2 linked regions of the Drosophila melanogaster genome follow. Changing the gene in region 1 together with any one later gene gives a genetic interaction. Each region holds a gene or a part of one and is shown in the gene's direction. Other genes may lie near its edges. The genes, in order: rst and morgue.

Region 1 (4,989 bases):
TGTCAACTAAAAATAGCGATAAACAGAGCATTTGATTTGATACAATGCTATGGAAATAAGTCTTGAATTCAAGAAATACTTTAAAACGTTGTATAGATTCCATGAGTTTATATATTTGAAAAGAAAAAACCACAAATTAGCTATAACAAATTTGTTTGGGGTTAAAAAGGGTGTGCGTGATAGGGGAGCTATCTGAAATATTTAAGGACAAAACTTGTGCATGCATTTCGATTTTATTGGTAATATAGTGTTTCAAAATGCTGCAACAGAAATCCTATCTTGCGAATGGAATTTATGGGATCTGGCTATGAACCTTCTTATCGAGAAAGGCTTTTTGTTATAGTTTGTTGGGGTGTTTATAAACAATTTTGGACTACGCATATGTAGAGGAAATGCCCTGACTATGCAACAACGTTCGCCTTATCTTTCGTCTTTGTGTAAATTTAGAGCGCAATGCATTGATATTCCCATACGGCGGCCATAAATTACATGACAATTACTTGGGGAGCCGAAGAAAATCAGCGGTGCTTGGAAAATCCCCCCTCGAAAAGGCAAGCAATGCGTGGAAAGAGGCGCGAAGAGAGAGCGGAAAATTGGAAGAGAGCCGACACTTCATCACTCGCTCCGAATTTTCCGATTTTCCGGCGGTGCCTCCCTCACACGCGTAGTTTAAATTGCGTTCGCAGCAATCGTGCCATAAATTTCCCTTCCGAAACTTGTTTATTTTGGTCTTGCATGTCTCCAGTGCCGAAATCTTCCCATCCAACAGTCCATCTTCATCGCTGGTAGTATCTTTGTATCTTTTGTATCTCCCTATCTCTCGTGGAGCGCACAGCTTGTGTATCGATTCAATTATGGGAAAACTTAGAATCAACTCATCATGCAGTCGATTGATTAACAAGTCGCACCTAGTAAAATGGCTCCCACAGTGTTTGAGTTTTCAGCTGAGCTTGGCTTTACTACAAGTGTGACATTTGAAATGTTCTTAAGCCAACTAAAATTATGCATGCAGCAAAAAGCGCAGGAATGTTGGCACTTCAAAAAAGGGCTGCTTAATGTAAAAATTAAGCTAATTTAATGATAAATTAATAGCTTCTTTTTGAAAATCATGTTAAACACTTCTCTGTGTGGTTCCCATGGGATTTCCGCCGTTTTGTCAAGCCACAGATTTGGACTTTTTACTCAAATTGCTCTGTAGAGGACCATATGTCGCTCTTCACAGCCCTTCTGGCATTCCACAATCGGAAGAAAGACTGCAGATTTCTACCAAAACGGGAAGAATTGTGGGTGCGAAGAAGGAGGAGAGATTGGTGAACAGCTGCTGTCCCGACAGCATTGACCTCTTGACGGCCAATTCTCCTACTTTATCTCAATCTGCAGTGTTTAAAGGGTTTATACTTTATGTGATCTTTTTTTTTTTGTTTTTTATCTTCTCCGGCAACAGTTGGTGGTCCACACTTTTGGCGGAAGGTGGCGCTGCTAACAGCAAATCAGAGTGCAATTAAGGCCAAAAGACAGATGGCCAAAAATCGTGGCACATCGGCTGGCAATATCCCCAAATTTGCGTGCACAGAAACAAAAAAGATATGTATAGCGAACACTAAATTGATTCGTATAAATAATTTATAATATTTTTTAATATAATTTATACATTGCATCTGAAAACTTATAGTAAATATATGATATGAAAACATATATCCCATATATATGGGAATTTAAAAAAACATTGGCTGCCAAACATAATCCAAATGAATAACAACATAGAACAGAGGTTGCATCGAGCCGCGCTGTTAGCCCTGTTGCATGCTGTTAGAGCCTGAAACACCACTTGCAACATCATCGAACATGTTGCGTCGCTTTGTTTTGTTTGAAGACAAGCCGCGCCGGCCGAAGAAGTCGGATTTTTGGATCGAGTTCGCACTTCGTTCCGTTCGCTCGTACCGTTCGCTTCGTAGCGGCGGAAACTCCGTACTTTCGATAGCTGGTATCTCACAGATACTTTTCGAGACCCCGAAGACGAGAACTCGCATCGCATATTCGCCCGAGAAAACTCTCAGTAAATCTCAGATAATTAAAACGAAATATATAACTAAACGTCAATTTTTTTTTTGGTGCAAACGCAAGCCAAAAAATTTCATTTTGGTGTGGATTACCAGTGGAAAAGTGTGTGCTTAAAATGGAATAAACAAGGCTATCATAAAAACAAAGCCCGAAAAACCAAACAAGCTGAAAATTGTCAACCCAACAATTATGGATTAGTGCCAGTGGCCGGTCAGAGTCAGTTAAAAATATATATGCATATAAGAGGACTAAGGAGCCGAAATTGTTTAAATTGATTACAAACAAACAGTGTGAGTAAAAAAGTTCATCAGTAAAATCTAAAGAAAACTCCTGTGCTTTTGGCTTTTTTCATGCGCCAACTGCAACAGCTGCTCCCTCACTTTGACCTTTTCGTTTGATTTTGTTTATAATATACTGTTACTGGCCAAGTCTCCGCCTCTTTTGGCCCCTCAAAAGTTTCGCTTTTGGCCACTTTGGCATTTGGATTTCGAGTTTGCTTGAGTGTATTTTTTTTTTTTTCGAAGAAAATATATGTGTTTTTAATTGAAAATGGAAGCATGATTTTTGGTTGTAAGTAGACTTTGTTAAAGCAAAATTTATATTTTCCTTTCTGCCTAATGAAATGCCCAATGGCAAGTACTAGTTGCTGAAAATATTAAAATGTAATAAAATATAAAATAAATTAAATTACCATCTTTCGAATAACGTTTAGATCTTATCAATCTGAAAATGAGGTTTATTATACAAAATCTATGTTAAGTTGTATATCACAGATATACTTTCCCCTCTACAATAATAGATCTTCAACTCCAGACCTTGGACACCTAATTAGCTTCTTCTGACCATTCCATCCCTCTGAGCATCTATAGAAAAAAGTGCTCTTCTTAACTGATTCGATCTCTTCTTTCCTTGGTTTTGCATGATTTATGATTTAAAGCAATAACTTTGAAAAACAAAATGTACAAAGCTAGTCAACGATTAGGCATTTCGTAAGCACTTAAGTTGAAAAATTAATATTAAATGTATAGAATGATTTTTTGTTCGTATACAAGTATGTACACAAACAAAAAATCTACTTGAATATATGCTAAACAATGCTAAAATCATTCTGAATAATTTACGGCAAACGATAAACTTTAATGAGTATAACATTCAACTTCAAGTTTTAATCTACATAATAGGCAATGTATATTAAATGTGCGCTTTGGTGTAATTCTTTAATGCGTATATTTATTTATAACATTCGAATGGTATACCTATTTCAATGGTTTATTTCTGACATTTATGGATTAATTCATTTGGTTTTAAGTAAATAAATTTGCAAATACATTTAATTCCTTTTGTCATTGATTAAGTGAAATGCCAGTAATTCGACTCTCTTATTGACACATTCAAAAATCATAAATCAATTATTCCAAATCCAATAGAAATTTATTTATTACTCATAAAATTTTTCTCTGTGTAACTCCCCCCAGCTGTAAGCGAAGAAAATGTTGCTAGCGGCTGTGGTGTTAAAGAACAGAAATGCGAGCTAAAGAAGCTGAAGGCCCAGAAGCTTTACCAATACATCGATACATTGCACACAGATACTCAAACATCTGCAAATGCATATACAAGCGTATCTTCAGACTCACGCACCTGTCCCTTGTCATTAAAAAAGCAAGCAAAGTTTCAATCTTCTTTGGCAAGCTAACCTTTTACTTACTCTGCTCCATCCTCTGGGTTCATATATGTCGCATGATAAACACCGGAAAAATATTGATTGGCTGGGAGATTTGCTAAAGCACGATTAAGAAAACTAGTCTCAAAAAAAGTTAGTCTTTGACCAGAAAAAGTATTTGTTCTTTTTTTTTTTAATTGAAATTAACTTATTTTCATACTTATTTATCTTGATTGAAGCTCCTATAAATTCATTTTGAATAACGTTATTAAGTTTTTTGGTTTGAAAACAAAAAGAAAAAATATTTTTAAAGTGTATTTGGGAACGTGTGTGTAGCTTTTGGATTTTATAATTTGGCCCAATTTGCTGGCATTGCAAATTGCTAAAAACGTCTGAAACAATCGACAGGAGGAAATTGGGGAGTGTGGGAAAAGGATGGCAAAAGAGGCGTTCGGTAGGCGTGGCAGGAAGTGCAACATGCTCATGTCGCAAGTTGTTGCTGCCGCCTGTATTTCTCCTGCACTTTTTGTTGCTGTGTTATCGATTGGCGAGGCCGCATTTGTTGGATCGTTTTGACGCGTCCTCGTCAGCATGTCGAAACTTATTTTTCCTTTTCAATTTCGCCCTGCGATTTTGCATTTTTTTTGTTTTTTTTTTTTCGCCTGCCTGTCGCTTTGTTAGTTCTTTGCATGCCACAAATTATGTTCGTCACCCCCTTTTGCCCCACCGCGCTGGATGGATTACCTTGAGAGCGGAGCTGTCAGGCTTTTTGACAGTTTCTGCCGTATCGGTTCCACCGATTTGACTGCTGCGCTCATCCGTTTTGCCTGTTTTTTTTTTTTGTTTAAGAAAGTGCTTCGTTTAATGAATAATTGGTATTTTATATCATTTAGGTACAATAAGAAAAGACTTATTGCCTGGTATTTGCATCTGCCAGCTAATTTCTCATCTCATCTCTAAAAAGAAATGCAGACGAGGGCATTCGAAAGGCAAGCAATTTATCCCTTGGTTAATTTGGTTAATTGAAGACAATTGAGGGCCGCTTTGCAGTTCATTAAGCCTCATCAGCGTTGAGAAATGGGGCCCAGAATCCAGAAGTCCAGAAGTCCGAATCCCAGATCCAGTTCCATCTATACTTTCCATTTCCAGATCTGTTGTCTTGTCGCCAGACTAATTAAAATATTTGCACTCAAATGCTTAAGCAATAAATATTTGTCAAGCCATCATCATTAGGAGGAGGCTATAAGGGGGGGGGGTTCTGACCTCAA
Region 2 (4,202 bases), on another chromosome or scaffold:
GAATTAGCTCAATTTCGTAAGGGCGCACCTTGTTGTGGATTTCCTGAATGCCAACTTCGCGGGTTCTAACATCGCGGCAAGTGGTTCCAAGATCCTTCATGCGGGCCAGCGCCAGTTCACGGAGATTTCCGTGTTCCACGCCGGAACTAAAATGAAGAAAAATGTCAGGTTTATTTAATATATATATCGGACAAGTTACCTAACAAGCGGCATGGGAATGTCGCGCTGTACGCGGTACACTCGCGTCCATGGTGGTACAAGGGCCAAAATCTTCGCCACTAAGTCCACAAGCATGGATGGCGGATATGACTTATATCGCCCGGTTTTCCATAACTCGTAGAGACCAGTGCCGCGAATGACGAGCGTGGGATAGATCTTTAGGCCGTCAGAGCGGAAGGCAGGGTTCTCAAAGTACTCGATAAACTGCTCGATGTCGCGTTCAAAGTCAACATTGGGAAGATCAGGCATCATGTGCGTCACGATCTTATAGCCAGCATCCTTGCCCAGCTGGAAGCTCTCGCACACCGCTCGCACCGTGTGTCCGCGGTTCGTATCCCTGGCCACGTCTTCGTAAACCGATTGCACACCGATTTCCAGCCGGGTGCAACCATAGCTAAGCATATCCGATATGTGCCGCTTTAGGCAGTAATCTGGCCTTGTTTCTATGGTGATGCCAATGCACTTTGTGCGTGACTTCTCCGAGTAGCGTACGGCTTCCGCCACATTGGCGCTGCTGTGGCCGGAGAGGGCGTCGTGTAGGTTGCGGATAAAGTAGTCGCGGTACTCCTCCGGCAGGCACATGAACGTACCGCCCATTACGATGAACTCCACCTTGTCCACACTGTGTCCCAGCTGCTTCAGCTGTTCAACGCGGTGTCGGGTCTGAAGAAAAGGATCGTACCGCGACCGGATGGCTCGCATCGAGGTCGGCTCGTAGCCTGTGTACGACTGTGTCGAGTACTCAAAGTCGCTGTCCGGTCCGCCGGGACAATAGACGCATATATTGCCGGTCATATTGATGTGCGGACAACGATGCGGCTTGCACATGACGGCGACCACGGCGATCTGGATTGAAATAATTGAAATGAATAGTACGCCTTGTGTAAGCAAGTGCGACTTACGCCACTTGCTGTGCGAATGGGCTTTGCCCTCAGCTTTGGAAGCAGAATTTTTTTGGCGTCCTGCGGCACGGCAGCAATTATGTCGACCAGGCGCGGCGAACTGTCCAGTCCATATTTGGAGGCCACCAATGATTTCATCCGATTAAGGTTTACATCCTTTTTGGCTTCGTGCGCCTTCAGCAGCTCCTGAATGATCTCCCCGATGACGAGCACCTGTCGTTCCTGGCGGCTCAATCCCACGCCTGAAATAATTGGCGGGGTAAACGGACGTTTAAAGAATTACTTTCGTAGCGACGTTACCTACCCAACTTCTTTTTTGCCTTCATTTTGCTGATGAATATCACATAAACTGCACGTGTGAAGTTAGCAGCACTTGTTTTGATTCGGTTATCGACCGACCAATAGTCCGATAACCACAACACTGTTTGACAGGTTTTGAAGCTAACACCACTTGGTAACACTTTTAGATGGTCTATCGTTTGTCGATTATTTATTTGTTTTAGCACCAGTTTCTCGGGAGTTCTGTAAAATGACTAGCTGCGTGCCAGCGCATCAGCAAAAGGACCAGGAGCAGTTGCTAAAGGAACTGGCCAGCAGTGGCGACGAGATGGACGACCCGGACGATCCGGACCAGGAACACCACCAGCTGGTAGAGCCGACCTTCTCTTTTTCGGTATGTATACAATAGGCTAGTTTCTTGCGGGCCGATTAATAAATAGCCTTTCCAATTTGCAGAATAGTAACACCTGCTGGGTGTGCAACGGCTACTATGGGCCCAACTTCGGGGAGCCGTTGTGCGGCGCCTGCCACGCCTTCCTGTACAACGCACAGCGGGCGGAGGAGCTGCTCACGGAGCTTTCCGATGACGAGGATTCTGGGAACGACGAGCCGCCGTTCAAGGACAAGCAGGAAGACGAGGAGACCGAAAACGACGTAGACATCATGGGCTTTGAGGATCTGGAGGACCCCCAACCGGCAGCCGTGCCACAACATCCAAATCCGCAGCCACCAATGGAGCCACAGGATCAACAGCCAGCCCAACCAGTTATAGATCTGCCACAGCCGGTGCCGGAGGCTGCGGCACCACGACGCGAGTCTCCGGAGCGCGACTTTGAGCACGAGAGAGCCATTAATCCCTTCCTGCTGCCCATTAAGCGTCCGCGGGCCACGGCTCCCTTGGCTCTGCCCCATTACATGCATGAGCTGGCCGATGGAAGGGCGCGAGTGCATGAATACAACGCCGCCAGCGGAAGCGGAGCAAGTGGCAGCAGCAGAAACATTGTCAACATAATACCCGTCGAGGTGATGCTGAAAATATTTGCCTATTTGGACGACATGTCGCTGTGGATGGCTAGTGAAGTTTGCAAGCAATGGCACGACATTGTCGGGAAAAACACGGCCCAGAGCATGTGGAAGGCGTATATCAAGCAGCGCTGGCCGCTGTTCGACAGTTTGGCAGACAATCCAAACTGGTATCGGCTGTACGGGGCACTGATGTCTTCCTGCTTCTGTCGCACTTGCCTGATTGAGATGGGCGGTCGGGGTCAGGATGCACAGGAGGCAGATCCACAGCTGGGCGATCGGGAGCCGGGCAATGTAATGCGCAACAACTTTCTGCGCGGTGAAGCCAATCTGCTGAACAGCTACGAATCTGAGGGCATATCGGCCATACCGTTGGATCGGCAAAACAACTACTGGCAGGCGACAATTCTGGGGCCACCGGGCAGTCCCTACGAAGGCGGCAAGTTCTTCCTGTTCATATACTTCCCGGAGCGATATCCGATGACGCCGCCCACAGTACGTTTCCTCACCAAAATCCTGCATCCGAATGTTTCGCGGCATGGGGACGTGGGCATCGACATCTTCCAGCAGCACAACTGGTCTCTGGCGCTGAACGTGGCCAAGGTGCTGCTTTCTGTGCAGAGCCTGCTGACCGATCCGTATACCGAAGTCTGCATGGAGCCTGAACTTGGATACATCTATGAGCACGAGCGCGAAAGGTTCGAGCAACTGGTGCGCGCGTGGACATGGAAGTACGCCATGTACGAGCTAATTGCACCGCGCTAGAAGATCAAAAGCCCTCCAAGGACAATGGACTGAAAGTTGGAAACTACCCCTCTTTACGTTGTAACTACATATGCCTGTGTATTTAGCTTAGTTGTGCCATCTGGATTGTTTATTTTGGCCTCCCCTCTCACTTTTCCTGCGCTCCAGGTTGAAACGTAGTCGAAATTACTTAACCTTATAATAAATGTATGCTTTAAGTTACGAGCGGCGTCGCCTCACTTCGTCCAGGACACCTTGGGGATGTCAAAGTGCTCGGTGAGCGTGTCCAGGTGCTCGTTGAATTTCTCCACGCGCTCCTTGTGGGTGGTTTGTGCCTTGTCCATGATTCGCTTGTTGCGCATCTTTTCCTGCTGCTTCTTACTGGCCAGCTCGGCCTTGGTGAGCTTCCGCTCGTAGCCACTGGTGGCGGAGGAGGATGTGGCCCCCGATTCCGCTATTTGCTGCTCCACGAACGCCTTCTGCAGCTCCTTCTCCTTGTCCTTGCCCTTGTGCTTCTTCTTTTTCTTCTTGAGATCCGAATCGTTCTTTAGTTTAAGCTTGCCCTTGGCCACGCAGGCGTACTCGTCGGACATGTCTTTAATGGGTTTTCAATCTGGAAATGGATTGGTAATGAATCCGATCTGTTTACGTTTTTCTTGTTTTTGTTTACACCAACTGCACGTTGTTATCTTTACATAATTTCTGATATTCGATGTTATTACCTGACCAGAAATATATCGATGGCATTTTATCGAATACATTTGAAATGTTACAAAATACGTTATTTTTGTTTGTTTTTTGTGGTAAGTTTCCTTAATCTAACAAGAAATAACTTAAAAACCTCTAATATAAATAAAAACAGTCCTGTAAGACTAAAAATAGTTGTTCAAGACATTACATACATTCAACTGTTAGAATACAAAATGTAAAACTTAAACGGTATTACCCATGGTAATTGAGATGATAAGCGAATAAAATCTTAAATTAACGAAATTAGCGAGCCTTGACGGCTAACTCCGGATTTTTTATCATTAC

Evidence for each region.
Region 2: of rst (region 1) and morgue, changing one enhances a phenotype caused by changing the other (phenotypic enhancement), as found in Drosophila melanogaster (one study listed by BioGRID).

What each region holds. Positions count from the first base shown.
Region 1 is NC_004354.4:2,970,763-2,975,751, reverse strand, and holds the start of rst (roughest), read left to right. Parts: upstream 1-1,917; 5' UTR 1,918-2,351; intron 2,352-4,989. UniProt on the Drosophila melanogaster protein: Required for correct axonal pathway formation in the optic lobe and for programmed cell death in the developing retina.
Region 2 is NT_033779.5:4,442,056-4,446,257, reverse strand, and holds morgue (modifier of rpr and grim, ubiquitously expressed), read left to right. Parts: upstream 1-1,577; 5' UTR 1,578-1,650; coding exon 1,651-1,794; intron 1,795-1,856; coding exon 1,857-3,188; 3' UTR 3,189-3,388; downstream 3,389-4,202. Other genes in the region: Elp3 (elongator complex protein 3), read right to left, coding at 1-146, 200-1,065, 1,122-1,363, 1,426-1,447; CG15432 (uncharacterized protein), read right to left, coding at 3,404-3,760.